2 linked regions of the Arabidopsis thaliana genome follow. The protein of the gene in region 1 interacts with the protein of each later gene in a pairwise test. Each region holds a gene or a part of one and is shown on either strand. Other genes may lie near its edges. The genes, in order: CHI and AAP5.

Evidence for each region.
Region 2: the proteins of CHI (region 1) and AAP5 interact in a two-hybrid assay, tested with the Arabidopsis thaliana proteins (one large-scale study listed by BioGRID).

Annotation. Positions count from the first base shown.
Region 1 is NC_003071.7:18,074,497-18,089,318, forward strand, and holds CHI (chitinase), read right to left. Parts: upstream 3,022-14,822; 5' UTR 2,940-3,021; coding exon 2,525-2,939; intron 2,312-2,524; coding exon 1,893-2,311; 3' UTR 1,670-1,892; downstream 1-1,669. Other genes in the region: AT2G43560 (FKBP-like peptidyl-prolyl cis-trans isomerase family protein), read right to left, coding at 33-82, 152-235, 329-585, 853-889; AT2G43580 (Chitinase family protein), read right to left, coding at 4,321-4,724, 5,124-5,517; AT2G43590 (Chitinase family protein), read right to left, coding at 7,096-7,499, 7,863-8,253; AT2G43600 (Chitinase family protein), read right to left, coding at 11,553-11,947, 12,096-12,585; AT2G43610 (Chitinase family protein), read right to left, coding at 13,562-13,956, 14,238-14,688.
Region 2 is NC_003070.9:16,763,308-16,779,896, forward strand, and holds AAP5 (amino acid permease 5), read right to left. Parts: upstream 4,379-16,589; 5' UTR 3,917-4,378; coding exon 3,829-3,916; intron 3,413-3,828; coding exon 3,179-3,412; intron 3,132-3,178; exon of another isoform or gene 2,952-3,131; intron 2,878-2,951; coding exon 2,784-2,877; intron 2,543-2,783; coding exon 2,170-2,542; intron 1,998-2,169; coding exon 1,344-1,997; 3' UTR 1,085-1,343; downstream 1-1,084. Other genes in the region: CYCA1;1 (Cyclin A1;1), read right to left, coding at 11,728-11,793, 11,895-12,029, 12,113-12,296, 12,396-12,682, 12,768-12,860, 12,944-13,086, 13,168-13,453, 13,687-13,875. UniProt on the Arabidopsis thaliana protein: Amino acid-proton symporter. Stereospecific transporter with a broad specificity for glutamate and both neutral and basic amino acids. Reduced affinities for asparagine and valine.

The sequences.
Region 1 (14,822 bases):
GTTCTGTTTTTGTATGGATTGAGAAAGATCACCTGTCGAATATTTGCCCTGATGGAACCATAGCCACATAATTAGCAGCAACCTACAACATTTTTACATCTATCTTGATACAGTTTCCTTAAATCATACAAAGGTTTGATTCAGTCCTTACCTGAAAACCAACCGGTGGACTCGGGCCTCTACCAACTTTAATATCCTTATACTGAAGCCCTGACTCTGTAGTTACCATTGGAACCTTTAACCAAAAACAAGAGAAAATCCTCATCAATGTCATGAATCAAAAAGGTTCTATAGAAAGCCAAAAGGTGTGTGTGTGATCTCACCATACATTTTCAAGCTCTTTCTCGCATTCTGCTTCACAGAGTCTTGGTTTATCTTCTGGAGGTAAACCAGCTGCATACGCCGCAAGTGAGCTCATTGATAATCCTCCTGAGACGCCGAGTACCAAAAGCATTGCTTCTCTACGGCTAGAGAGATTACTGATTTTACAGCTTTGCTCTCTTGTTTCTGAAGCTATGACTCTTGCAGCTATATATCTTGATGAATTTGGATTCTTGGTGGTTAGACCATTTCTAGATGCTGAACCTAAATTCATAACCACAATGTCAGATTCACAAAACCAAACAATAGCTAATTGAACATGAGAGTAATGAATTCTACAATTCTAATTGCAACTATGCAAGACATGAATGAAGCCGGTTTAATCTGAACCGTAAGGATTAAGAGAATCAACAAAGATGAGATTTTTATCTCTGAGAAAGTAGATTCAGCAGAGAAACCCTGAATTCCAAGACGAGAAATCTAATCTTTGAGAAGAAATCAGAAAACAGAATCAGTAGCTTAGGTTCTTACCTAGTGGTAGAAGGAGAGATGGAGAAGAAGCTGCCATCTTTTTTTGGTTACGATTTGGCAAATTTGACAGAAGCAAACGAACTTCAGTGGATAACGAAATCTCTGGTTTTGTTTTGTTTGTGCGTTCGCTTCTTGCTGACTTGGCTCTCGTAGTTTCTTAAATTTTTCATTTGTTTTTTAATTTCGTTAAGGAAATATGAACGTTAAGGAGTGGACCATCCGGAAGTTGAAACGGCAAGTAAATATCTGTAATTGTTTACTTCTGTTTGATTGAAACGACAAGTAGTTTCTCGTGTGGGGTCTACTTCACCTCTCGTTAAAACGTCGTCATTTCACATTCTTCCTCCGGCGGTCCAAATGTGCATTGGACTATTGGTGATTGGCGTTGGCTTTTAAAGCTTACATTATGACCAGCGCGTATCGACGGTAAACTTGATTTTGCGCTAAGTTTTATAAGATTTCTCTAGAAACATTATTAAAAAAAAATCATCATCTCCTCTAAGTGTTGTAGAAAATTCTACTAGATAGATAATTATGTAGAATAATCTAGGAGTTTGTAGGGTAAAGTCTAGAAGCCTTTGTAAGCTAACTTTGGAGGGTACAAAAACCTCATCACCCCCATCCTTTGTAAAAAGGTTGAACAAATGAATCAAAAAGAAAGTTCAAATAAAATAGTGTTTTTCATAAATTCTTTAATTCTCTATACTCTTTCAAGTATTTTCTAAGTGTTCTTCCATAGTTTTCATCAGACTGTACTTAGAGGATTTCTTATCTTGGTTTATATAGGATATCTCGGGTATTACGGTCTTGGGAAGCACTATTGGGTGTTTTCTTTTTACACATCGGCCCTTTGTTGTAAAATCCGCCGTGCCTATGCATAAGAAATCGTTTATTGACACTAGCTATTACAACATTATTATTATTATTTTTGGTAAAATGTGAAGTATTACAACATTATTATACTAATATGATACTTTCTCTTATGTGATCTCTAAGTTTTTCAAACACTAGTTGTGTTTCGGATGGATAGCAAGGAAACTTTAACAAGTGAGGTTATCTCCAGGTGCAACTCCAAGCTTGCCACAATAGTCTTGGAAATACTTAATCCTGTTGGCGGCTTTGGCTGTAGAATCTCCTCCGCTACACTCCCTACTATTCACTGCCCTGATTGTTGCGCCAAAGCCCGATTTAAAACTCGTGCGAACATTAGTGGTCCAGAACCAGAAAGCGGTCTTGAAGGCAAGAACCTGGTCTTGAGCAACTTTCTCTGGTGAAGCCAATAAGTTCTCGTCCAAGGCTTTGCCACAGAGACCGTAGTTGTAGTTCCAAGAGAGCTGGATTGCACCACGGCCATAGTAGCCCTTTCCTTGTGCACATGGGAACTCTGGTTTCTCTGTGTCGCAGTACTCTCCGGATGCGGCCTTGGCTGGTCCATCAATTTCCTCAATGTAACACATGACTGCAACAAGGTATAACCATATGGTCACAAAAACGAAACCTATAGTGGTGGACATATACGATTAACCAAAATTTGTATACAACAATTACTGATTTTATTATCTTATGCTGAAATTTAATTTAGTCAAATTGAACCAATATAGTCGTAACTAGAATAAAATTTATGTTATAAGTATCTTTATTCATTCAAAATTATATGAGAAAATTTACTTACACCCTGTTTCTTGGGCTACGTGAGCGAAAAACGCCGCGATTTCGCGTTTGGAGATGGAAGCACCGAAGCTAGGGTAAGAATTAGCTGCGGCCATGAAGGTGTCGTGAGTGTAGAATCCTTTGCCAGGACAATCACCTCTTTGGTTTAGTATAGAGTTAAAGAAGTCAGGTGTCACCGTTCCTTCTAGTGAAACAGCAGGATCTCCACCGCCTCCACTGCTCCGGCAAGGTCCTGCCTGGCAGCCCTCGCCGCAGAACTCATCGGTCGTACCACAGTAGCCATATTTGCTGCAACAGAAGTCAGAGGCGCAGCCACAGTTTTGAGAGGCGACCGGTTTGGAAACGGTTAGGATCAGGAAAATTAGGGTTATGAAGAAAAGGGCAAATCGGTCATTTCGTGATGTGGGTTTAGCCATTGTTTTTGTGTCTGTGATGCAGACTGCAGAGAGAGATGATGAACATTAGCTTCGTGTTTTATAGATGATGATGGATCCGTGAAGCATACGTTTTGTTGTAAATAAAATATACTTGTAGTTTTCTGAGTCAACGTCAACGCCAATGCCACGCATGCTTATTAGTTCTTAGACCATTCGAAACGTTACACGTAACACGTTGGGAAATTTTCAAACAAACACCAACATTTTCGTTTCAATCTACGAAATTGGTTAAACCAAATATTTTTTTGTTCCTGTGATGCAAACATTTAGTGTAAAGAAAAATTATCAGAGATAAAATGAGATAGGTGAAAAAAGTATATTTGGTTTTTGTGGTTCTAAAAAGCAAGAAACTAAGTGACTTTTACTGAAAGTAGTCGCCAATTGGAAAACAAAAATTAAAATATGGTTTGAGTTTGTTATACAAGATAAGTTTAATCGGTAGAAGCCTGTAGTCAATGTCAATTGGTTTTACTAGTCTCATGTTGTGTGTGATAACACAAATTTAAAATCGACAATAGACTTGTGAAAAATTGTAAACAACAGGAAAAGTCATAATTGTTGGCAAGAAATTTTATTGAACAAGTCTTGTAAGAAATACTAATCCCGAGTCGTATATGAATGCATTAATATCCATAATTTGAATATTAGATAAGAATAATCTTTGATGTTGGTCTTCTCTTAAATAGTAAAACTAGGTAATTTTATTCCAACCATTTTGAAATTAATTAAAATTATTAGAATGACTTGTAAACTAGAATTACTTGTGGAAGATCGTTGTCTTACGTGCCAGACTTAGTCCAGTTAGTAATCTAACAAGATATATTGCAGGAACATGTATATCATAGAGAAAACAAGCTCTATCATCTATATATCATACTTTCAAGAGACTGATCAATCATGTATAGAAACAGACAAAACATAGGCCTACAACGACTTGAACAAATTCGGTTTACTTTTAAACTGAAATCAAATTCTTTCAAACCCTCTGATTCACAACAAAACTCTTCATTTTAAAAGTTTCACATAATAAACTAGTTGTCAGACCAATTCTAATCCGATCGCTCAATTGAGATAAGAAACCAACAATACTAGATAAGAAAGGAATGAAGTTTTACATATAGGAGTCAAAAACTTATGCAACAAAGTTATGTTCTGTTGTTCTTTGGGTGCGGTATAAATATCAAGAATCAAGCATTTTATTTGTATAAGTCGATTTATTAATCTTTTAATAATGTGATTTCACTTCACAAGATTACTCTAGCTTTTTATCAAAAAAAAAAAAAAAAAAAGTACTACAATTACAACAACACTTCTTATTTCACCTTTAATACTTTCGTGCCATGTATGTCCCAAGAGCGTTTTAGCAAGTTATGTTGGCGCCAGGGTCCAAACCAAGCTGCCCACAATAGTCTCTATAGTAGCCAATCCTTGCGTTCACCCCACCTAAGTTCCTACCGTCACAGTCGAAACCGCTGATGGCTCTTATGGTGGCTCCAAATCCCTGGTTCAATACAGGCCTCACGCTCTTCATCCAAAACCACAGAGCCGTCCTGAAAGCCACGACTGGGTTACTACTCACCAGCTCGGGCTGGCGTAGGAGGTCTAAGCCGAGACTCTGGCCGCATGCTCCATAGTTGAAGTTCCATGATAGTAGGAGCGGACCACGGCCATGGTAGCTCTTGGCCGGTGCACATGGATATTGCCTGTTGTTCTGGTCGCACATGACACGTGACGCCCCGTTTATCTCTTCTATGTAGCAGAAGTCTACACGTACAAAGATGCATATTGAAACACACTAGTTAATTTACGAACAAACGAACAAATGCTAGAAAATCAATGTTCAGTTTATAATTATTGTAGGACAAAAACAGAGTAAATGAGATAACATCCAAGGTTTTAAAATTTAATCTCTTACGTCTTAAATATGATTCTTTTTTCGTTCTAGATAATGATTGTTTCAAACGTATGTATGTTATAGTATTTTAGTAATTATTTAAAACACTCAAACGCTACTGTAGATTAAAACGTAAATAAACAATTGTTACTCTAAATTTTTTAAATTCGCATACTCAATTTTTATGTCACAATCTAGTAATGTACCCTAGAAGGCTAGGATATGGTTAGTGTATAAAAAGGTCAAAAACCGAGAAAAAAGATTCTTACGTCCTGTCTCGTAAGTGAAATGAGCAAACATGGTAGCAATTTCACGTCTAGTAACGGTATTAGCAAAGCTGGGGAAAGTATTGGTGGCGTTAATGAAAGAGTCCCGGGTGTAAAAACTTTTTCCCGCGCATCCATTACCGGCTTGGTTGATAATGTTGTTAAAGAAAATTTGTGTCACGATATTACCAACCAAACCGGCACCGGTAGGGGGTCCACCGACTCTACAAGGACCTGATTGGCACGTAGAACCACAGTAATCTGCAGTGGTACCGCAATAACCGAACTGACTGCAACATAGGTTAGGGGCGCAATCGCAGTTTTGAGATTTGACGGTTTCAGAATATAAACCTAAGAGGGATAGGAGAAGGATTAAGAAGATTTTTGTGAGAGCCATCTTTGGGTTCTTGTTGTTTGAGGAGAGGGAAGAGTTTGAGGTTTATATGATGAAAGATATTGGGTATATTGGTCATTTCCGTGGGACTGGCAATCAATTGTGATTTAATTTCTTTCATTTATTTAACAATGGTTTTGATTGTTATGCCGAAGATGTATGGGCAATTGAATTGGCCGACAAAAAAAAAAAAAAAAAAAATGAATTTTCTTTTAAAAACAAAAAAAAAACCTGGTAGATTGGAATTGTACTGTAGTTGGAAAAATAATTGGTTGAATTAGGATCTTTTAATTTACATGGTTACACATTTTTTTTGAATTTGGAACTAATGAATAAAAAAGTTGTAGGATATATTTTATTTTTTTATAGATAACTGTCGGTTTGTTTTTTTGTTTTTTTAAAGTCGGTATGTTAATGAAACTAAGAAAAGCCGCCCTTCACAAATAATAATATTATGTTAACCAAAAAATATAAATGTGGTAATTTTTGAAGTGCGATGTTAGAAAATTGTCGACGGCTTGGAACATCGAACCTGAAAAAATTATTGAATTTGACTACTTATTACTAAACGATCCAAAAAAATATTGGAGTGTTCCTTGATTAATTACAATAATACAAACCGAGTCCCCAATCAATTGCCCCTCTTCTCTCGAGCATTTTCTAAAAGCCGACTCTTAAAAGAAGCCAACACATATTTTCATGATAAATCTCTGTACGATGGTTTGCCATGGTTTTGACTTTTCAACATTGAACTTCAAAATATTTGCAATGAATAGATCGAGTATAGATACGTATAGCGGACTGAAATCATCTGAAATACGAAATGAAATGCTTTGAACTTATAACATAGATGTTGTTTTATATATACAAGTCATACATCCTATATGACTTGTATATATAAGTAAGTCATACATCCTAAAAAAGAAAAAAAGAAAAAGTTATACATCCTATAATAGATCCTCTATATTTAACCGGATAGAATCCAAACGGTAACATTTATTATTATATGAGGGGATTGTGAACGTAATAAGTGTACAACATATTTTCTACAAAAATCACCGTTGCGAAATTTCCTAACATTTGTACTTATTTTCTTTAATAAAATCAGTTTTTTTTTTCTTTCTGAAAAGTTCACAAACATAAACCAGACTCATTGATTACGCTAGGCTGCATCCTGCATACGTCTCTAATGAATCCATATGTTGACCAAAAACAATCTAAAAACCATTAAACTACCAATGTGGTGATGACACGTTTATCATTATGTTTTTTTTTATAAAACTTTTTGTTTTTGGCGTGATAAATACAAGATTATAAAATATTATAATATCAATTTATGCGAGTATCCCAAAATCAGATACTGCAAGTGTCAAACTCAAACATCTATCAATCTTAAAATTCTCTTTCATAAGAAGTCACATAAGAAAAGAAAATCACTTTCACAAGTTTATTACAACAATTTTTTGCTTGTGACGCAGGGAACACCGAGACCCGACATAAAGTACATACGTGTGAAATTTTAGTATATCTCACTTATTACATGCCACGTCACATATGTCCGTGTTTGGGTTCAAAGGTTTTTTAGCAACTAAGGTTAGGACCAGGGTCCACACCAAGCTGTCCACAATAGTCTCTATAGTATCCAATCCTTGCGTTGACTGCACCGGAATTACCACCGTTACATTCCATTCCATTAATAGCTCTAATGGTGGCTCCAAACCCTTGGTTCAGAACCGGCCTTACGCTATTCATCCAAAACCACAAACCCGTCCTGAAAGCTACAGTTGGGTTGCTACCCACAAGTTCGGGCTGGCGTAGAAGGTCAAGACCGAGACTTTGACCACACGCTCCGTAGTTGTAGTTCCATGATAGTTGGATCGGACCACGACCGAAGTAGCCTTTTCCCGGTGCACATGGGTATTGTGTGTTGCTGCTCTGGCAGTAGTTACGTGTTGCTCCGTTAATCTCTTCTATGTAGCAGAAATCTAATACGTATGGAGATGCACATGAAACAGAAGAGTTATTTAGGATTAGGATCATCTTAGTTACTTGAGATCAAGTCAAATGTCATTTCTTACTACAATATCAAAGGTTTAATCTTATATGGTCTTATAACCAATTGTTTTCCTTAAAATACTTAACGTGTTATAATAATATAATATAATCCTCATTTGTTTTGAAATAATGCAAAACGTTTTAAAATATCAAATCCTCCAATCATTCGTTTAGTTTACTAAAGTTATAAACTTCGAATGAGTCATGACTAAAGTAGATGTATACACAGACACAAAATATTAATTTATTTTTGAGTATATAAAGATAGAAGAGAAGAAAGACATAAATCTTACGTCCGGTCTCGTGAGTGAAATGAGCAAACATGGTAGCAATTTCACGTCTGGTAACAGAATTGGCAAAGTTGGGGAAAGTATTAGCGGCGTTAACGAAAGAGTCACGGGTGTAGAATCTTTTCCCCGCGCAACCATTACCAGCTTGGTTGATAATATTGTTAAAGAAACCTTGTGTCACAATGCTACCGACCGACCCTCCGGTCGGGGTTCCACTACCTCTACAAGGACCTGATCGGCATCCAACACCGCAGTATGCATCGTCGGTACCACAGTAACCGAACTGACTGCAACAGAGGTTTGGAGCGCAACCGCAGTTTTGAGACTTGACAGTTTCAGAAAAGAAACCTAAGAGGCAGAGAAGAAGGACTAAGGAGATTTTTGTGAAAGCCATGTTTTGTGTTATTGTTTGTGGTTGAGAGGGCAAAGGTGGTGAGGTATATATAGGGGTAGATGTTGGGTAGTTTGGTCATTTGTCTATTGGGATAAGTGGATGTAAATGTCTTTTTCTTTTTTGTATAGCGGGGTACATATTTATGTATTTCGAAACGAGTTTGACTTTTGGTCGTGTTCTTACTCAAGATGAATATTGTGGACTTGGTCTAAATTCAATTTTCTTGTTAAACAGAACTATTATATTAATTGATATTTCTCACTTTTGTTTCATATTTTGAACAATTCTATGATTTCCCAATGATTGAACAAACAAAAATGTTCGTTTTTCTATTAAACTGTTTAATACATGTAATGTCAATGGAGCAAACATTAAAATATTTTGTTATTCTATATTTAATACATGTACAAACTATATGGAGCAAACAGTATGTCTTTTTCCTAAAACTAACTTAAGCTTGAATCGTTTATTTTTCATTTCTTAAATTCGACTCTTAATAGACGATATGAAGACAAGTCCTTGGATTAAGTTTTGTTTGTTTGATATTTATCTTACTAGAGATAAACATTTCAAATGTAATTGATAAAATTAACTACTCTAATATAGTCGATCAGTGGCTAGTTCTTCTAGAGTTTCTGAAAGCCGGCCCTAAGTAGAGAAGTCGCATATTGTCACTATAAATCTTGGTGCCATGTGACTATGTGGTAGAGAGATGTCGCATAATATCACTATAAATCTTGGTACCATGTGACTATGTGAGCCTTTGGTTGGGTCCATTACCCGGCGGCTACTCAAATTCCATCAAATGTATGAATTTCAGTTTTAGTTGACAAAAAATGATTCTCAGTTTTAGGGGCTGTATTGAAGGATGAATTGAGAGTGATTTTAGTTTTGATGAGTTTTGAGATGGTTTTAGTGAACTTTAGGAAATTGCTATTAACATTCTCTAAAATCTCACCTAAAACTATAAGATTTGCATCTTTGATTTTTTAACTAAGAAATTCCTTCAAATTTCACCTAATGTATGTCACTCAAATCACTTTAAATCCACTATTTATTTTTTTTATAAAATAACAGTTGATTTTCATCTAATAAAAGACTTGGATAAAAATCGGAATAAGAATGTCATCAATCAAAGTGTAGAGTAATAGATTATACTATATGACATTCTGAACCATCCATATGTATCTTAAAACCAGGAAGATTGTTGACAAGAGAAGGACAATGTCAACAAAAAAGGCCATGATACTTTATTATGTCTTTTGTGTAAGGCTAAAATTTGCCGATAAAAAATGATAAATGCACAATCATACAAGTTACGTTGCATACGTTGAAGAATGAAGAGTAGAAGCAATTATTTTTGACTATTCAATTCAAAGCTCTTGGTTTCGCCTTTTCTGGTGGAAGTGACAACTGCACCGGACGTTGTGCGTTCCGGCTCGGTCACTGCCTCACTGGTCCGGACTTTCAGGAATCGTATGATTCAACAACCAACTCATTCTTTTCAATGATTTTTTAAAACTCGAGTCGCCGCGTGGAAATTTTTAAAGTTTAAGAGATAATCATAATGATCAATTATAATGATTTCAATCGCAATGAAATTACTCAAACCTTAGTTCTTAACTTCATGCTAAGTCTATCAAGTACTGAATCACCACGAATTCGTTGCGAGTTAGCATTAGGAATAAAAAGAAACGAGAAGTAGATAAATAAGATGACTGTGTTTTGTTTTTCGATTTATTGTCAAAGAAACTGTATTTACTCATTAAAATGAAGTTATTGTCAAAGAAAAACAATTGATCATAAGAACTAATTGGAAGTGCAATTCTAAATCCACACATTCTAACGCTAGAATTGCACTTCCAATTAGTTCTTATGAATTATACTTCTTAAGAAAAGTTCTTACTATAAAATCTCAAATTAATCAACGTACTCGCTGGATAATAATGACTCGTGCTCACTATCAAAGAAATTCAGGCTTTGTTTTATGCTTATTTCACATATAACCAGCTGTTACTGTTGAATTATGTAGATACGCTAACCATTGTTTTCTGTTTTGTTAGCATCGTCATCATATAAGTATCAAAATTCAAATTCGTATGTATATTGTTTAATAGTAATAAAAACTTTACGAGATGAAGACAATTCATATTCCCTTAACAGTAATATTAGCTCAATTAAATAAAAGGACAGATTCGCTGGGTACTAACTCATTCTTTCAAATTTATTTGGGACTCATTGTTTCATCTTAAAGTAGAGTTTTTCGTAGGTGTATCTTATTATAAAATGATCTTAAGTTTCATATAGACATTCATGCACACTGCCTGATTATTCGAGTCTATATATTGTATAATTTTGTTTTTCGTCAACAAATCCACATACATTACTGAAGATAGTCTATAATCTCTTCATTTATTTTCCTTCTAGGATGGTCACCTCAGCTGTACTGGTAACTAAAAAAGTCCAATATCTTCGGGTATTCGTAGACCACTTGGAAGGAACCTTTTTATATGGTAGAAATGAATTAATTAATTTATACAATTTTTTTTTTCCACTTAGAGGCTGCGGTGTACTACTATTTAACATGTATTGTCAATTATTCAAAAGCCATGGCCTAACATTATTGCATATTCCTAATGCTAACTAATGACTTTCCATCTACCAAGGCTAAAAAATAAATATCTTCTTGAGTTTTTGTCTTTTGTTTTTTTCTTAATCTGTTAGCAAACAAAATATAAGCAACATTGACTAGTACATAGAAATGGAAGGATGAATAATAAATTAAATGGCTTATGTTAAATCGAAACGTCCAAACGATTTGAAATTCAATTTTAAACTTTGTGACTATGGAATAAAAGTTTTCATCTTGTTTACGTCTTTAAAGAGTTCCAAATTTTATGGTTTTTGTGTTTCGATCGCCAAACTTAGTGAGTTTGTAAATCGATCATCCTCAAACCTATTACCCTATTTCACTTTTTAATTTGGTCCGAAAATTCATTGAAAATAAAAGGAAAGCATCAGCTATACAACCAGAGAAAACATACCAATAAATGATGTCATAAAGATCAAGCCAAACCAGCCCTCGTAATGCTACATGCATATGATCGATATTTCTATTTAGTACTGGAAACTAATTCCGTTTTCCAAATGGATTTTTGCCGTTGGTTTGGAGTTCCGATATTTGAAAAGTAACTATCAAAATAAAATCTTGAAAAGTTTAAACCAAATATATATATGTTCCATAGGTCAATCAAATTAGTTATTATTAATTTAAAAGTATTTCCATCACACTAATGACTTTAACAATCGAGACCTTGATCAGGAGTTACTCCAAGCATCTCGCAGAACTCTATGTATTGCTTAACTTTGTTCTTCGTATCATCGCGACGCCAGTTACCACATTCACGGCCATCAACTCTCTTTGTGATTTCTCCAAATCCTAAGTACAAAGCGGGACGCACGTTTCTATTCCAGAACCACATTGCGAATTTGAAAGCAACTTCTGGACTACGAGACACCAGATCTGGATCCTTCAGTAGAGGTAGCCCGAGGTGCTTGCCGGCACCGTAATACTCGTTCCATGTGATTGATTGTAGCAAACCACGACCATAGTAGTTTTTCCCCGGTTCACAAGGGTACTTCTTGCTCTTTGAACAATATCTCTCGTTCGATATTTCTTCTTTGTAACAAAAACCTTTACGTAAAAATAAAATGTATTATCTTTAAGCTTCCAAAAAACCAAAATTGCATGCATCCATGATTTTCAAATATCTTACGCATTAAAGGTAAAAACGCCAATGCAAATTTTTTATTTTTGGTTTTTAATAATATAATGAACTTACTTTTAGATCCGTATGAGAAATGAGCCAATATAGCAGCGATCTCACGTTTAGCCACCTTTCCTTTGTAAGCTCCAAAAGATTTGAAAGCAGTAATGAAAGCCTCATAAGTGTAGAATCCTTTTGCCGAGCAGTTGCTTTCGACTTTGCTCATGATGCTATCGAACAACGCTGATGTGATAACGGTTTCTATTTTACCACGTGGACCGGCATCAACGTTGTAGTCGTATCCGTATGATTTTCCCTTGATATTGCAAGGGCCACTGAAACAAAAAAATCCGCAGTATTCATCTTTGGTGCCACAGAAACCCCATCTGCTGCAACATTCCTTAAGGCCAGGGCAACTAGTATCCATGCAGTTCTGCGAGAACACGGTCTCGGCCAAAATTGCTAGAATGAAGAGGGAAAAAATGACGTTTTTGATGGTCATTTTGTTATAGCAAATGAGTGTTAGGAAATGGGGATTTTGTGAACATGAGGGGCTTGTGGACATATTTGTAGTTCAAAATCAGTCGATTTGTAATTGATTTAATATATTCTTGATATTTTAAATACTTAAGCTTTTGCTAGAAATTTAAGGAAGACTACATATATTAATATCCACAAGATCTAGCTACTATATATTTGAACACTATAAATTCGCAAGTCAACTATTAACCCTGGACTTTGAGAAGCTGAAACTAGAATTAATCTTTCACGTGACAATCTGTTGCTTTGTTATCAATGTTCCATCCCTATGACTTTCAGATGCACTTAAAAAGGAGCAAATTATATAAACATGTGGAATAATTAAAGAATCATTAAAAAAACAAAATCGAAGGTGGTTCTTAGGAAATTAGATTCAGATCACCAAGTAACCAGTATGGCCTCCAGTTTAAGCCAATCCCAAAACAAAAACACTAGTTTATTTTTACAGAATCTAACAATAGCATAAAATGTTACCCAAAGACTAGCACATCCTTAATAATTATGTTGTCATATCTACGATGAATTTCATGACGGTTAGAAATGATCGGATCATATGTGATCTATAACATTATTCCTCTTCTTTTTTATTTGTTTTGGTTGTTATCATCAATCACAAGCCTCGTTTGGTTCCGCTAGTACTCTAATTTCTTTTCTTTAAAACTTAATAAGAAAAGATGTGATGAACTGATGATAGAAGAAAAGATGTGATGATAGAAGAAAAGTAATTTTCGTTACTTATATGCATGTATACTAGTCTAGTGTGAAACACAGGGAAACCAATATATTGATTGGATAATACTTCCATCTTTATTACTTATGCTAGCGAGCGGATACAAACAACACACAATATAGTTACCTTAAGAGACATCAACCACACAATATAACTTCTAATCTCTTACAAATTTTATAAGTTCTAGTATTTTCGACTTCACTTTATTATTCGATACGAAATTCTTAACCAGACGACATTAATGAAAAACCCTCATAAACTAGTAGTGTCTTCAACATGAGAGATTGGTTCCAGGAGTGACCCCAAGCTTCTTGCAGAAGTCCAAGTAATGGTTAACCCTGCTCTGCACTGCAGCTGGACGCCCACCATTACATTCACCACCGTTGATCCTCCTCGTGGTTGCACCAAACCCTTGGCTCAAAACCGGACGCACATTCTTGTTCCAAAACCACATGGCACACTGGAAAGCCACAGTTGGGCTACGAGCCACCATATCTGGGTCCTTCAAGAGAGGAAGTCCAAGGAACTTTCCGGCTGCACCATAGTTGTAGTTCCATGTGATTTGGATCGGACCGCGACCATAGTAGTTCTTTCCGGGTTGACAAGGATATGTTGTGCTTGGTGAGCAGTACCTTCCTCTGGCTATTTCTTCTTTGTAACAAAAACCTTTACATAACCAAACAGATAAACTTTATTTTAAACTTGTTTTAGACACATTCTTGGAACACATTTTGGTAATATATATAGCTAGCAAATCCTTATTTCTTATGAGGAAAATATTCCTGTCTCTATATTTTTCTTCAATTATCAAAATAAAGTTTTTAATGCAAACTGATAAATCAGATATTTATATAAATTTTTAAACATGATAATACTTTAATAATTCCTTTTTAGACATTTTCTGATACATAAAAAGAATAATAGAATGTAGTAAACGGTGAACTTACTTCCAGATTCGTGAGAGAACTGAGCCAACATGGCGGCAATCTCACGCTTAGCAACAGTTCCTTTGTAGGCTGCGAACGATTCAGCGGCTGCGATGAAAGCCTGGCGAGTGTAAAACCCTTTCGCTGGGCAACCGCTTCCGACTTTACTCATGATGCTGTTGAAGAACGCTGGTGTGATAACGCTTGCTATGGTACCACGAGGACCAGCATTTAGACCGCCACTACCGCTTGGAGTCGGAGTAGGTTTAGGTTTAGAGTTGCAAGGTCCACTCTGGCACCCAGTGCCACAGTAGGCTTTTGTGGTACCACAATATCCCCACCTGCTGCAGCACATGTTGCCTTTACACCCGTTTGTACCACAGTTTTGTGAAAACGCGGTTCCTGTCATGATGGTTAGAGTAAAGAGGAAAATGATGAGAGCTTTTTTCAGAATCGCATTTTGTGTCGCCATTTTTTTCCTTTGATGGAATGTTTTGAGGGGAGAGTTGTGTGAAGAAACTAGGAGGATATGTGGCCGTATTTATGGTGTAATATTGATAATACAAAATTATGTTTGGTCAAATCTTAGTTAATGTTTTATAAGAA
Region 2 (16,589 bases), on another chromosome or scaffold:
TCAAAATTTTAAGAAACTCCAAAATGATATTAAAACTGTTGCCAAGCTTGAAGGTGGCCTGCGGTTTTGGTTCCAAACCCGCATTCCCGAGACTGTCTAAGTAGTTCTGTTTTTTCCAAACTTTCTATTCTTAATGTGACATCTTTTGTAAAACAGTTTTTTTGTTGTTTATAATTTTACATTCATACAAAAAAAGATATTAAAACTGTCTTCTAATAACATGAATTTGGGTAGATCAAAATCAAATCATGTTGTCCCAGAATATCTGGTTTTAAGTGGTTTCTAGAATTTTTGGAAAATAATACATTTTACATTAATATTTTTATTTTTATAAATCTCAAAAATATTTTAGTAGCTTCATAAGGTCTCAACTAATCTACAAAAATATGTTTGAGATTCTTATTATTTATGGACCCATGAGAGCGTCATCAATACCATAAAACCAAAGAATTTTTGAAATGGAGTTATATCACATAGTTCATTCTGTTGAAGACAATGTGTATGATCTAGTTAGCTTAGGTATTTCAAACTAAAAAGACATGTTTGTCTTGTAAAAACAAAATGTGACATTGGTGTGCGTTACTCTAAATTCTTTACCGATCGACCCTAATACTACTTTGATTGCTTTGCACTTGTAGTTTAGGAAATTAAAACTATATCATCATTGGTTGAGTTATTTTTTATATTATTAAAGTTCTTGAGTATATATAAAACAAAAGAGTTGAGGTATCAAAAAGACACCAAGCATGTGATATTATTCTTAAGTACTTTCACTCATTTGATTGTATAGCTTTTGAATGTAACTAATGTTATTTATTGTGTAACTAACTGAGAATTCATCGATTGCTTTGTAAAAGAAAGATCAGAATATTTTCAGTGTCATATCATTATTCTCGATTTGCTTTTGTTAAATTTTAATTATTGTTTTGTCAAGGTAAACATTGATTATCTTATTTGTATGGCTTCATTAGGCATTGTTAGCTCAATTTTATCTAGGGGATCTTTAGTTTTGGAGAGTGTTTACAAGAAGATAAACGATTTAAGAATTTGAAGAATTTTGGAGATAAACACAAAACATCTTGTAGCTCCTTTGGTTTATAGACTTCTAAAATTAATTATAAGTATTAAATGTTTAATACATCTCTACTACCTCAAGTGTCGAAAAAGCTATCCTTATACATGACTACTTTTAATCATTGATAGTTCAATGTTGTAAGAATTCTCGGTAGAAACATGATTTATAATTGAACACTTACACAAAGTTAACTAATACAAATATGACATTAAAACATTCAATTCTAATCTTAACCCTTTTAGCAGGAGTTTATTTTTCCCGTATGATCTCAGAATTCAGACTGGAAAGGTTTGTAGACCTTGAGATCACTAACAATGCCAATAACAGATCCCGCGGCCGCGGCTACGGACACAAAAAGACATGTCACACTCAAGACTTGTAGACAAACCCACTTTGTGCCCCATCTCGGAACATTCTTCTGTGCAATGTACATTTCCACTGGGAAATAAACCGTTAAAGGCCAAAAACCAATGGCCCCCAAGAGACCGACTACATCGTTAAAGAAAGGCATTAACATTGAGATCAACGTTGTTGTCATCACGAAGAACGTCCTCCATACGAGCCTGAAGAGATTCAAGTTAAAGGGCTTCCCCGGGAAGAGTTGGATCTTGATCTCTTTTGTGACGAATTCGCTCTCTGGAAACCTCCTAGAGGCTTCCTTCTCGACGAAGGCAAAGAGGGGTTGGCAATAGACTTGGTAAGCACCGACTAGATGGATCACTATAGCGAGATTAGCAATGTCAAGCAACCAATATGGGTTTCTAAACCCTCCATGAGCGAGGAGATTTCCGGGTGCGTTATCCCCAAATGCTGCATACCCTACACAGCCACATAGCATGTAGAAGACTGTAGTCACTGCCACACTTACAAAAGTCGCTTTTCTCATCGTGTTTACTTCGGCAGGCGGTGATTTCACCGTGTCCTGGATCATCAAATCGTCTAGTTGATTAAAACATCCTTTAAACAAACTCTTATCACACAAACTCGCTTAACAAATAAACCAAACGATGCACTAGTTGTAACAACGTTATTTTTCTTTTGAATCTAACTTAACATTATTTTCAAAAAAAAAAAAACTCGCGTAACAAAAATACCTGAATTTCGATGAGAATCATCGAGTAAGAGTACGCAAACGCAATGTTGCCAAGAGACTGAAATGTTCTCCATATTTTCTGCGACGATGTCACTGTCCCACTCAGTGTCACTGTCCCAACAGTGACTCCAGTGAGACTACCTTTAATTTCTTTGTTCTCTACCACTTTAGAGACACCAAGGCCAAGTCCAATGGCAGAATAAGCAAAAGACATGACCGCAGCGACAATGGAAAGCCACCATAACTGATCAAAATCAGGAATCTGAGAGAATATGATTTGTACAATACCAAACGCAATCATGTAAACATTTCCATTAACATGACAAGGATCATTTGGTCCATTCATCTGTTGGCAACTTGTCCTTTGGATTGCTCTGTAAATTTTTTATTCAAGAAAATTAGTTAACAAGTCAAACAATAATAGAGCCGTTCTTTCGAATCTTTAATGGCACAAAACAAGACTACATTGACTAAAACACTGCATTATTGAGCCAAACATTAATGACTTGTATGGACAATATTGAATAGCAAAATAAAACACGCATCTAACTTTTTTTGGACAAATGTGAACAATTAAAATAAAAAGAGTTTTGTGAAAGCAAAGTTTTAACTTACACCAAACTTATAGCTGATGCAATTGTATATCCAATTGCTGTACCAAATAGATTAACATATTGCACAACTCCACATACTTTCACCTTAATCCCACCTAAAAATGAATCAAGAATGAATTAAGTTTTTGATGATAATAACTATTGGGATATGGAACCGATATGGAGAACCAGAGATCGACAGAGATCAACGGTTGAAATGACAAGGCCAAGATACGGCAAGAAAATATTATTCTAAAAGATAAATGTTAAACTTTCTAAACTTCAATATTAACATTTATCTTCTAGAATAATATCTTTTTGTTATATCTTGGCCTTGTCATCTCAACCGTCGATCTTCGGTTCAATATCCCAATATATGCACCAAAAAGAAACCGAAATGATTTTTTTTTTGTTTACCGAGGTTGGAGTGAATAGCGTCCATGTAAGTGTAGTTTCTTTTGCCGGTAACAGAGTCACCAGATCGGTAACAAGAACAGAGAAGGGTAGATGTGTAAAAAGTAACGAAAGAAAAGAGTAACATAGCCACTGGACCACCAATCCAACCAATCTGAGCAACGGCCCATGCCAATGACAACACTCCTGACCCAATTACTGCTGTTATTATGTGTGCACTTGCTGTCCACACCGTCCCTAAACACCAATCACATTCAAACAGAATTTTAAGACAAGAACTGTAGTAACAATAAAGTCTGTTTTGTTTAACCGTTAATTTTAAGACAACAACTGTAGTAACAATAGTGTTCATACACTTTAGTAACAAAAATCATACTTTTCCATAACATCCACACAAAAAAAGAAGTAGGAATTTGTCACCCCTTAACAAACAAAGCCTATGCATATATTTACTGTAGATGTTTTAAATTGCAAGTTCAACAGACTCCGGGTTTCGGTTTGTATCCCGAAACCCGGAATTAAAAAAATTCCGGGTTTCGGGTTCAAATCCCCGGTTATAGGAAACAGAGACTAATTTTATATTTACTTTGATTCTTGTTTGAACAGATTAGAGAAACATAAAACATAAAATTAGAGAAAAAAAGAGAAATTACCGGTTCGCTTGGGACGACCATCATCATCGAATGAATCCGAGCTATGTTTCGGAAGAACATCCAAATCTTGAACATTCTGAACGACCATCTTCTTCTTTTGGTCGACAATAAGACCAAAATTTACTAAGAAGAATCCAAACTTTACCGACAGGAAAAACGGTTGAAAAAGTTTTACTTGTTTTGTGTTTTCTCGTATAGATCTTGAATTTTTTTAAGACCAGAAGAAGAAGTGAAATCAACGATTATTCAGCGAGAAGAAGAATGATTTTGACCAAATAAAATCAACGGTGACAAGAGACCGATGTTTTCTATGGACCAGAGATTATATAATTGGAAGAGAGTGAAAGTATAGGAATTGACAAAGTAGAGATTAGAAATGCATGATAATATAAATACTGACCAAAGCTTTTGTTGTTTCACTAATTTATAAGCACCGTGGAAGACGGAGACATCCAACTTGTAAGAAGGAAGAAGCAGAGGAAACCGCATGTGCTTTTTTTTTTTTTTTTGTGAGGACTACAAAAATAGTTTATCTTTTTATGAGAAAATGGTTTCATTGTTATACATTAGTGACAACAAGTGCAAAATGTCAAATCTTATAAATTACATATAAGCTAAACAATCAAACTAAATTTTAAGATTTTTACCTTTAAAATATAGATATTTTAATTTTAAATTTTAGAAACAATGATTCATGTCCTTATAATTTAAGAGTATTTGAGTAAATCAAAGTAATTTAAGAAAATATATAATTAGAGATATAGTAGTTTTTATTATTATTGATTATTATGTTATATGTACTTTTGATGTCAAGAGAAAGTTGAAGGAAGATTTAACTTTTGAAATTCGTTATATCATTTGTAAATGAACGATTTGGTGGTATACTTATATTAATATTTTAGAATCATTTATCATAGGCATTACTCAAAAAAAACAAAATATATTTAACATGGGCATGTGTTCAACCATAATTATAAACAAATTGATAAAGTATATATTTTATTAATTTGTTATTTAAATAATTAACGTTTACCATGGACTTCTTTCGTCTATATCTAGTATATTTCTAAAAACTTTCGGTTGGTTTTGAGGAAATGAAAGTGGAAACTATGTATAGTGGTGTTTGCATGTTATGAGTTTGGTCACATTATATACTCTTTTTTGGTTGATAGGTTCTCACAAATTGAAGTTACAAAACAATGTTAAATATTCTCGATTATTTTCCATTTTATTTGTGGAGTTTTTGTATGAACATGCAAAATACACCTCGATTAGATGAAGTTTTTCAACATAACATTGCTAGAATTGCTAGGATTAATCTCAATTCTTAAAAATTCCATAAAAGCTAAACATCAAACCAAATTTTAAGATTTTTACCTTTAAAATATAGATATTTTAATTTTAAAATTTAAAAACAATGATTCATGTCCTTAATTTAATGAGTATTTGAGTAAATTAAAGTAATTATAATTAGAGATATAGTTGTTTTTTCATTATTATTGATTATTATGTTATATGTACTTTTGATGTCAAGAGAAAGTTGACGGAGGATTTAACTTTTCAAATTCCTTATATCATTTGTTTTTTTTTTGTCAACCGGAATTAATTAAACTCAAACGAACCAATTCCGAGGAATTAAAAATAAAGAGATGCTAATAAATTTTTCTTTCTCGCTCTTAAATTCTTTCAAATACACTGGAAACACCGACCATTCGGTTGGAAAATACACTGTCGTTATATCATTTCTAAAGAGTATAAATGAACGATTTGGTGGTATACTTTACTATTTTAGAATCATTTATCATAGGCAATTAGATATTATTTTGAAAAAGAAAATATATTTAAAATTTTGATGGGCAAGTTTTCAACCATAATTACAAACAAATTGATAAAGTAAATATTTTATTAATTTATTATTTAATAGTTATTTAAATAATTAACGTTTACCATGGACTTCTTTGTCTATATCTACTATGTTTCTAAAAACTTTCGGTTGGTTTGAGGAAATGAAAGTGGAAACTATGTAAAGTGGTGTTTGCCTGTTATGAGTTTGGTCATATTATATATACTCTATTTTCGTTGATAAATTCTCACAAATTGAAGTTACATAACAATGTTAAATATTCTCGATTATTTTCAATTTTATTTTTGGAGTTTTTGTATGAACATGCAAAATACACCTCAATTAGATGAAGTTTTTCAACATAACATTGATAGAATGGGTTTCACTTTTTTTAAATGCTTATTGCTGTGCAATGGTTTTCCGAAGTTTTCTGCATATATGAATTACCAAAAAATAGGAAATTTAATATAATCATTGGAACATCTAATCTATTATTTGAGTTGGAAAACATTTTGATTTTTCAGAACGATGTTGTTGGAAAACCAATAATTCATCTGAAAAGTATATTGATAGAAAAAGTTGACAAAAAAAAATATATATAGATGAAAAATAAATCAAAGTATCTGTTTTTCTTAATATATTTTTTAAAATTCATGCTTTGATATAGCTGTATTCAATGTGCAATTATATCTCGTGTTTGACACCAGATTTTGTGTCTGGAGTTAAAGCTGAGTTGCCTATATTTGGTCCACGCATTTGGGTATTCGGTTCGGTTTTAAATAGTATTAGTTCGATTAATTTTTGACAAATGTACTAAGAATTTCTGAATATTTTGGTTATGTTGGTCTAAAAATAATTAATAATTTTGGATTATAGTTGTAATTTTGGATAACTAAGAAATTTATTAATATGTTGAGTATATAATTTATATTTTGTACATTACATGACCAAGTAGGTGTTCGGTTCGATTCTGGTTCTTCAGATATAGGAGTTTGGGATTTCTTCAGATATTTTGTCTCTTTCGGGTTTAATTCGATTTTTTTTGTTGGATCGATATTAGTTCGGTTCTATTTAGATAGCATAAAAAAAATGAGATAAAATAAAATTAAATCATAATTTTGCGATTGTTTCTAAGTTGTAATAATCGTTGGAAATACCTTACATTTTAAGCTTCGATATTAAGCTACTAGATCAGTTTTGCCAATATTTTCAGATTATACCGACCAATAAGATTGACCTAACCGAGAATAACCATCTAGTCGTGTGCTCGAATAAAAACTAGATTTGAGTTGAATGATGGAACGAGATGCGGTAAGGTGTGGTAAGTTCACCATGGTTTTAGCTTTGGGAGATATTCTCCTCTTCTCCTCAAAGGTGATAAGTATCACAGTTGAATCCTGGATTCCGGTTGAGATATTGTCATCTTCTCCTTCAAGGTAATGGATTGTAAGTTAAGATTTAGAGCTTAATTTTTAACTGTAAGAATATAGGGTTTGTGGTTTATGTTTTGGTTTGATATATGGATGTACTTACCTATTAAATTGAACACCAACCATGTAAAGACACCTTAATTTATTGTGTATGTATATTTAAACTTTTAATTTACTTAAAGTTAATTTTCGGTGTTCTAGAACATGGGCTAGATGAGCATCTAGGCGTTATTAGGCGGTGAGGTAGATTTGGCGGACTATGCGGTCACTAAACAAATTAGACATTATTAGGTGGGTTTGTGCGGGTTAGGCGGATTTAAATGTGTCCTAATGTTAAAAATATATATATTTAAAATTGGGTCTAAAGACACCTATAATTTTTATATTCTACTTTCAAATGTTAAATTTCAATTCATTCTAAAAAATGTAAAAATGTTATAAATTTTCATAATGTTTTTTCAGCATCTCATATAATTATACAAATATTCTAAAACTGCCTTAAATCGCCTAGACTCCGACTAAGCATTTCTAGGCACTAGATGGAGGATTACCGTCCGTTTAGCGCATAGCGCTTTCTTGAACATTGCTAATTTTATTTTTACATATATAATTTAACAAAATCTACAAATAGAAAATAACTGAAAAGGGGGAAATCATTACAAATATGTCCAATTTTCCTGTGTATTAAATCATTTACAAGAAACAAAAATATTGGTCTAAATAAAAGCTCTTGATTCTTAACACTTAACACATTTTCTTTTGTCAACAATGATACAATATATATTATACGAACTTTAATACGACAGTATACTACAGCTTCACAAATCATTATGTTATATACTTATAGGTCATTCAAATTTTACCCATTTAAGAGTTTAAATAATACAATATGTCTTGAAAATCATAAAATGATAGTATAAAAAAAAGGAGAAGCCTTTAAGAGAAAATTGAAAAAAAAAGACTATTAATTTGAACTTTCATTATAAATTGATGGGAATGTGAGATAATACTGTGTGAATGCAGTGTCCAACAATAGAACTCTTTATTGAGGAAAAAGCCGCAACATTATTTAAATTGATTGGTGATGTTTGGAAAGATGGTGAATTGCGTACGACCATCGAAAGTTGGTCAGTAAAGTGACTTTGAATATCGATCGACTTACTCTCACTTACCATCGAGTTCAAAACTGTTGACCTTTTCAGTTTCCACCATTGAATACAAGTCAAAGTTCGATAATAATAATAATATCCCAAAAGAATTCGATAGTTCTTAAATAAATGACCAAAAAGCATGTCAAAAAGATAAAAATAAAATAATAATAATGGCCAAAAAGCTTCATACCAAAACAATGCGTAAACATTCTTAGTAATACATTTTTCAGAATCTAAGTCATACATTTTTATTCGTTTTTCAACTTATAAAAACAGAAACTGGAACAAAGCACCCTTTCTACATCCCAGTGGTCAAGTTGCCACTGCATGTAGGTTTAAGGATTTATTCTTGTAGACATACATGGCTAGCTAGTTGCAGATCTAACAAAGTATTTCGAAATTTTGTAGACAAAATTATATACTGAAGAAAAATATTGATTTGAGGGTAACGACAATTGTTAAACCGAAAAGAGTAGTATTTTATTCTATTTTGGCTAAGCAGAATAATATGTTATAATAGTACACATAATAAAAATACAAATTTATGTTTTTTTTTTGTTAAAAAAAATTACAAATTTATGTTTTATACACGATATGGCAAGTTGTCACTGAGATTACATATCCATTTTTCGATTATTTTGTGTTTGTCTAAAAATTTACAACTATAAAAATTTATTAGTATAGTGAGGGAAAAAAAATGATTCTCACTATACAATAAATATTTTACGAAGAGATATAAACGAGAAAAATAAGAGAGAACGCAATAATTAATATGTCTTTGAGCCACTTCATATAGATTTTGTACCATTTTTTTTTCTTTCTTATTGTTCTAAGTGCAATAATAATATTTTTTTTTGTATAGACAAACAGGAAACTTGATAGAATTTAGGATTTATAGATATATTCAGAGGTTATGCTCCTCTTTTTTGGGTTTAGTTTTCCGGGAATAGTTATGTTTTCCACCGGCTTAGTTTCTCAAAGACTTTCGACTCTTGTCGATCTTGTATTTCAAAATCCTATTCTACCTACGTATAATATAATGGAATCATGCAGATGAAAAAAAAGAGATATATTCATAGGAATGAAACTTTACAAGTAGATGATTTATTTTCTTTTTCAATATTCTGATTATTACAGAGAAAATTGTAGACTGCCCAATTTCTATATATAGTTTAGTAAGTTGGACCGTTTTTTGCTTTAGCATTGATTGGTTATCTTAAGATACTCGAGTTGGATGTTTGTGAACAATATTAGAGTAGAAGAGTTAGGTACGTTATTATCAGTAGGCAAGAAGCATCAAATTCCAAATACTTCCCGTAAAGAATAAAATAATTACAAAACAAAACTCAATATATTGGATCTAAATTATACTTTTCCTATGTATCCTAATATTTTTCAATTGTTATAATCTTTGTAATCATATTTTTGTATTAAGGTAAACTGAACCATAATTTAAACTATACTGTGGATTTAATTTATAGCATTACCGTATTACCATGCATGCACCCGAATTTATATAAGTTCAATAGTTTTCAGAACTATATAACTATTGGTTTTATTATTTTACACCTAAATTGTTAGTCCATGATGATAAAAAAAACATAGATATACATTGATGGCCATCTTTCTATATCAGTAAGAAATATTCTAATCGATCGAGGACCAGCCAAAACATTCTTCAATATAAACAACTCTTTATAAACATGATTCATATTCGTATGCAGCTTCCCTGTATCCACTAGTTTTGAAAAGATATGCTCGTCTCTTTACACACTAAACTATTGTATTACTATGAAAGTAGTTATTGTCAAGCGTTTGCATGTCGGTAATACAAATTTAAAACAATAATTAAGATTACGATTTAGATATTGGTATAATTTAACTTTCTATACTTGTTTTAAAAGGTTTTCGATGCATGTTTATTATTCTATCTTAAAATATTATATTTATTTGCGGAAGTTCCATTTGTCTAATGGTTGACCAATGGTTCATTTAAGCTTTTACATTAAGAGGTTTGGAGTTTAAATTCTAGCTACTGCAATTTATTAGTAGATTTGTAGATTAATGGAGGCAAGTGTGCAGAAAATCTCTAACGATGTACAATTATAGTTGTTCACTAAGATTCTACGCAGAGAAGATATTGAAGATGTCCATCAAAAACATGGAGAAAGAGAAAGAGGTGTCGATCGACATATGTGCTCAAAAATAAAACAACTAAATATATGTTTATGTTTAGATATTGAAACCCCTTGACAAAAAGAAAAAGTTTAGATATTAAAACCATATATAAACATTAAAATATGTCATAGTAATTTTTTTTTTTTATTAAGATCATGGTAAAATTATGCGTAGATATAGTTTTTATTGAACGAGATCAATCAGAAAGACGGAGACCAAAAACTATTGGGGACCAACTAACAAGCAACTGAAGTCGTCGAAGCACATTTGAAGTGAACGTTGTGAACTCCTAACCTAAATTTATTCTCGAACAAATTGTATTGTGATTAGGATTCATAGTTAAAGATAGGGAAGTTCTAAACCAATTATTAGGATAAGTTCCAAATCCATTACGTCCACAAGATTAATTGGTCTACAACCAAATTTAGTTTAAGTTAGGTTTTATTGATCTCCCAAAAAAAATTGTTACATCGAAAAACTCGAATTCAAAAATAGATCACCGTCAGATAGTTTTCTACAAAAAAAATTTTGTCATTTGATTTTAATTAAAACTCAAAAGAGCCAAAACTGAGAAATATTGTTTGGAAAAAATATCGAAAAAGCACAAACTTTCAAATTTGGAAAAAAAACATATAAAATTTTGAAATATCACTTAAATACCAAAGTTGTTGTTGACTTTATAATTAAATAGATAATTTTTGTGACTTTACCATTTTGGACACGTCGTTAAGTCAACGGACAAAAAAATTAACTCGGAACCTCTCAGATGTATCATTCATTCATTCCATTACCGACTAAGCTGAAGCATTTAATTGTTCGTTCTCAAAGACATACATATTTTATATAGGTTACAACAAAATTAACGGGGTTAATCAATTTTATTAATAGGTTCTGTTTCTTGTCGCTCTGTAATATTACAAAAATCATTTGTCCTAAAACATTTGATGTCTTACGGAAATCAAGAATATTGCAATTCAAGAATGTTTAAATTGAACATTGAATTCAGTAATTTATCAAATTCATTTATCACTTGATCAATAATAGCCATGAAATCTGCATAACACGTTTGTTTGCATATTTAAGCAGATTGATAATAACTTTTCCCACTTTTACCAATCAAATCATATCACCTAATTACGTCACTTTCTAGAGGAAGCCAAAATAAATCAGCTTAACAAGTTTTCAAAGTGAGATCGTAGATAGCTAATTTTATAAATAGACCAACAACAGCAAAATCATGTACAATCAAACAATTAAATCCAACACAACATTGGAACAAAGTTAAATTAAAGGATTTTTAGCTGTTGTTGAAGAACTCTTGTGGGATTACGGATGGACAAAACTTCTTCGCCACAAACTTGTACTGCAAAAAAAAAACACAAAAATCCAATCGTTATTAGCACATAAAACAACTTAATCATCATTCTTAATTGTTATCACAAATAAATAAACACAACAACTTACTTTGTGTTGACTATACTTCTCTCTAACAGCAGGTAGTGTAGAGCCGTGAGCAGTACTACACAATCGTTGAAGATCCTTCACACATCCTCTCAACTCCATCGCTTTATATTGCGTATAGTGTTGCAACGTCGAGTTCTGATCCAACCAAACAACAAACACATTTTACTACATGATTCTTATAAAGAGTAAAACAGTGTCTTAAGGTTGTTTAAACATACCCATGGTCGTCTTGTTGGGTCTAGAATGTACTTAGCCAAGAAAATGGCGGAAGCAGCTACTAGTGAAGGAGAATGAGAGAGCATAGTGTACTCTAGTAGCGATAATTCCGCAATGTAGTTAGCCATACATTCTAGCTGCATCAATGGAGCTTCATGAACACCATGAGCAGCTCGAACAAAGCGTCTGAAAATTCAAGTTGTACGATCCAACTGGTTAGTAATTAGTACAGAATTGTATGAGATAAGAGAAGGATCTGTTTTGTAAAGCAATCATCTCACTAACCTTAGAAAACATTTCGTAGTTGGTGCAGTCATTTCAAACTTCAAGTAATTCAGAACATCAGATTCCATATCAAGAACTTCATCTTTGAGATATGTATTATCAGTAATGTAACAAAACTCCTCAACTTGTGGAGCACATATCTCTTCATATTTCGCTGCTATCATCATACAAGCCACACCAAGCAACTGAAGTTTCTGTCTACTAATCACATTCCCAGATAAATACCTATCTATATAGTTCACAGTCAAATACAACGTCTCCGGTACAAGCCTATACTCTTCAGACACCTACAAGAAACCGAAAAAACCCTTAATAAAACATCGACAAGAGTGACAAAAGCCATCACATTTTCTCAATATAACTATCATTCACCTCAATAAGCCAATCAACTAAGATTCCACGCATACTCGAATTCACATCTTTCTGAACTCTCTCCATGTAATCAACATCAGGTCGCTTCTTAGCCTAGCATATAGATGATACACAGATTCAGAAAACTTGCAAACACATAAAGCTAAAAATATCACATTCTGGTTAAGAGTTATCACCTCAGAAGCACGAAGATGCTTATAAATGTCACAAGCAAACGTAGCACAAAGCTGAGGATCACCATTGTTACTATCAATGTTAACAATCTGATTCTTATCCATTTTCTTCATATCAGATAACACATCTCTACTACAATAATTATCTGCAATACCAAGCAAATCAATTCAATACCAAAACAATATAAACAACAAAGTCATAGAGAACCATTAGTAAGAAGTAGTACCAATTGTTTCTGAATTCGGCGTTATGAACAGATTACTCAAAGCTTTCCTCTCAATCGAAACAACAGCCGAAACGTCGTCGTTTTCGATATACTCAACTTGAGGACTCTTGTAGGAATCACTTGAAGACCTAGTCTCGTCCATTGATACTGAGCCATCATCAGATTTGCTAGGTGAAGAAGCAACTTTGTGAGGAACTATGCTTTGTTGCAGATTGCTAGAGAAACTGGCATTAACGCAAACACTTGGTGCTATCTTCAATTTCGCTGACTTGTTTGAACAATGTACCTATACAAAACCAAAATCAAACTCAAAATCAATAAGCAATCTCATAGATTCAATCAAAGAAACAATGAATCCATATTCAAAATTGATCACAAAAACCAAATCCACAACAAAAAATGAAGCGAAGAAACAATGGATCTATAGTGAATTAGAGTAAGCGAATCTTCAAATCAAACTAAATAGATCACAGAAACGAAAGATTTTGAAAAATTCATAGCGAAATTGAAGAACCTCACCGAATCAGAATTTTGTAATCGTGAGGCGATTTTTTGATTGGTAATGTTACTTAACGGTGCTCGTTTCTTCGTCATCGCCGGCATAAGTTTAACAGAATTCTCCGATGAAGATGGTGCTTGACGCTTCGCTAATGAAGATTTCGTCGAAGAGGAAAACGAAGATCGCCGATTCTGAAGAATGTTCGACATTTTTTTTCTTAGGGTAAAATGAATCTTCTCTGAGAATCTCTGAAAAAGGAAACAGAGTTTTAATGGCGAAAGAGAAAGAGAAAGAGAGAGAGGTTTTAAAAACAAAGCGAAGGAAGTGAGGTTAAATAATTTTTTGAAATTTGAGGAATGATCGTGACCGTTGATTTTGAAGTGTAGATTTTGTTTTGGAGCGTGCACGAATTTTAAAGGTGTATGTCTGTTATTTAGTATTGATCACTGACCTGTTATATTACGCCACGTATGGGTTAATTAGCTTTTAGGGAAACAATGTGTGACAGTCAGTAACGAGACTCGGTTCGGTTTACTTTTTTTGAATTCGAATTTCAAACGGAAATAAATTCGAATTTCAAACGGTCACCTTTTGGGTGCTCTTTCTCTCTTTTTTAAAATAAGTTGGAGACATAAACCATATAAAGATAAATTTATACATTGAAATCAGGAGCTGCTATTTTTCAATTTTAAATACTTTTACCACGAAAATTCAATGTGATTTGCTGTTTAAAATTTTCAAAATGTGAAATATGGAGTTTATGAGTAAAATATTTGATCATGATATTTCTTGAGTGTTGTTACTTGTTTAGTAACAAGAATACATTAGAGAAATCTCAAGTTCTCATGAATACATTAATTTTGGTATTCACCGATACTAGTCGTGGCTAAGTTAGAAGGTCTATATCAAGTTTTTGATGAATATTGTTAAGACTAGCATTGTTATTAAGAGTTGGATAGGAAGTAGGAATTTTTCATGATAGTATTGATGCTAGTTCATGGTAATATTGATGCTAGAAAATAAGAGTTCGTTAGGAACTTTTGGTGAAGTAAAGATTCACTTAATTGGAAATTATTAAGTGAAATTAATATTAAGTTATTAAGTTATGGTTGATCAAGAAATTAATAAATCTCGTGTCTCGTCATGTTTATCTTTAGGGCATCTCCAACCATAACACCATTTTAGTATTGAAATAACACTATATTTGGTGTAGTTTTCACACTAAAATATTTTTCTTCTCCAACCATAAAACTAAATATCACACTAAAGCTAATATTTTCTATTATTATACTATTAACTAAAATTTTAAAATATTACACAGTATTAAAAATAAATATTACACAACAAAATAGTATGTTAAACAAAATTAATTACAAAAAAGTAACACAATGACAATACAATTGCATTCACACATAATATTACACAAATTAAAATACTACAAGAATACTAATACTCACATATCATTCATCAAATTCCAAAGATGTTTAAATTTAAAACCTTTCTTTAGTTTTGTAATTTTATGTTTTGAATGTTAAGTTGAATTTTTATTATGTATCAGCTATTTTAATATACAATCATATTAAAATAAAATAAAAATTGATACTTAAATGTTTGATGTCGCTACAGTAATACACCAAATATAGTGATTTACTGTACAAGAAAATGGAATCACACCATAATAGTGCAAAGTATAGCGTTTGGTTGGAGACAAAAAGTAAACATCCCCATGTCAAGATAACGTTTTGCCGTCACATTGGACATGGTCTTAAGATGTACAATGGAACGGCAAAACGTTATTTGGAGGTGGTAATATTAACTTTCTGTCTCCAACCAAAGTGTATATTTTGCACTATTATAGTATGATTCTTTTTTTATTTATAATAAATCACTATATTTGTGTGCTACTATAACAATAACAAAAATTGAATTAATATTATTATTTATTTTAATTTTATTAAAATAGTATATTTAGTTATATATAGTATATAAAATATGATTTGTATTGTTATTTAACAATCTAATTAAGTTTTGAAGTAAACATAATGTATCAAAACTATTTTTGTATTTAAAATTTTAATTATATGAAATCTTAATTTGTAGAAAATATTAAAATTAATATAAAAATTTTAATTGAAGATACATAACAAATTTCAATCAACCATTAAAACAGTTTTTTAGCTCGACATAGACAAATTAAGATCGAGAAGCTCATATTGAATTTTGAAATGTTAATTGAACATTTGTTGTCGTTAGAATTAGTATGATGTAATTTATTTTTAGTATGTAAATTTTTGGATTATAATTTTACATTAATTGATAATTTTAAAATATTAACTAAGAAAATGTTCAATTTAACAATATAATAGTGAGAATAGTATTTTTAGTGTGATATTTTGTGTTGTGGTTGAAGAAGAATAAAGCTTTAGTGCTAAATTTACATTACACATATTGTTATTTCAACACCAAAATGATGTTATAGTTGGAGATGCTCTTATACCTTTCACCATCTTCTAGATGAAGTTTTACAAATCTTAACATCTCTCGTAGATTGTTATTTCAACACCAAAATGGTGTTATAGTTGGAGATGCTCTTATACCGTTCACCATCTTTTAGATGAAGTTTTACAAATCTTATCATTTTTTGTAGAAACAAAAAAATAAAGATGAATAACACTATTTGTATATTTCTTTTGGAACTCCCAATTAAATATAAAGTTCCTTTTGTTTTCTAAAGGGCTTTTAATACCAACTTAAGGCCAAGAGAGATTTGGTCCATCCAATTCAGTTAACCCGAAGACAAATTAATTTTAAACAAAATTATAACTCCACACATTTTCTAGAAATCGAAATAGTAAAAACAGAATTACGTCAATGTCAAAATAATCTGTCCGTACGTCACCTAGTCATATTAGTTCTTACTAAA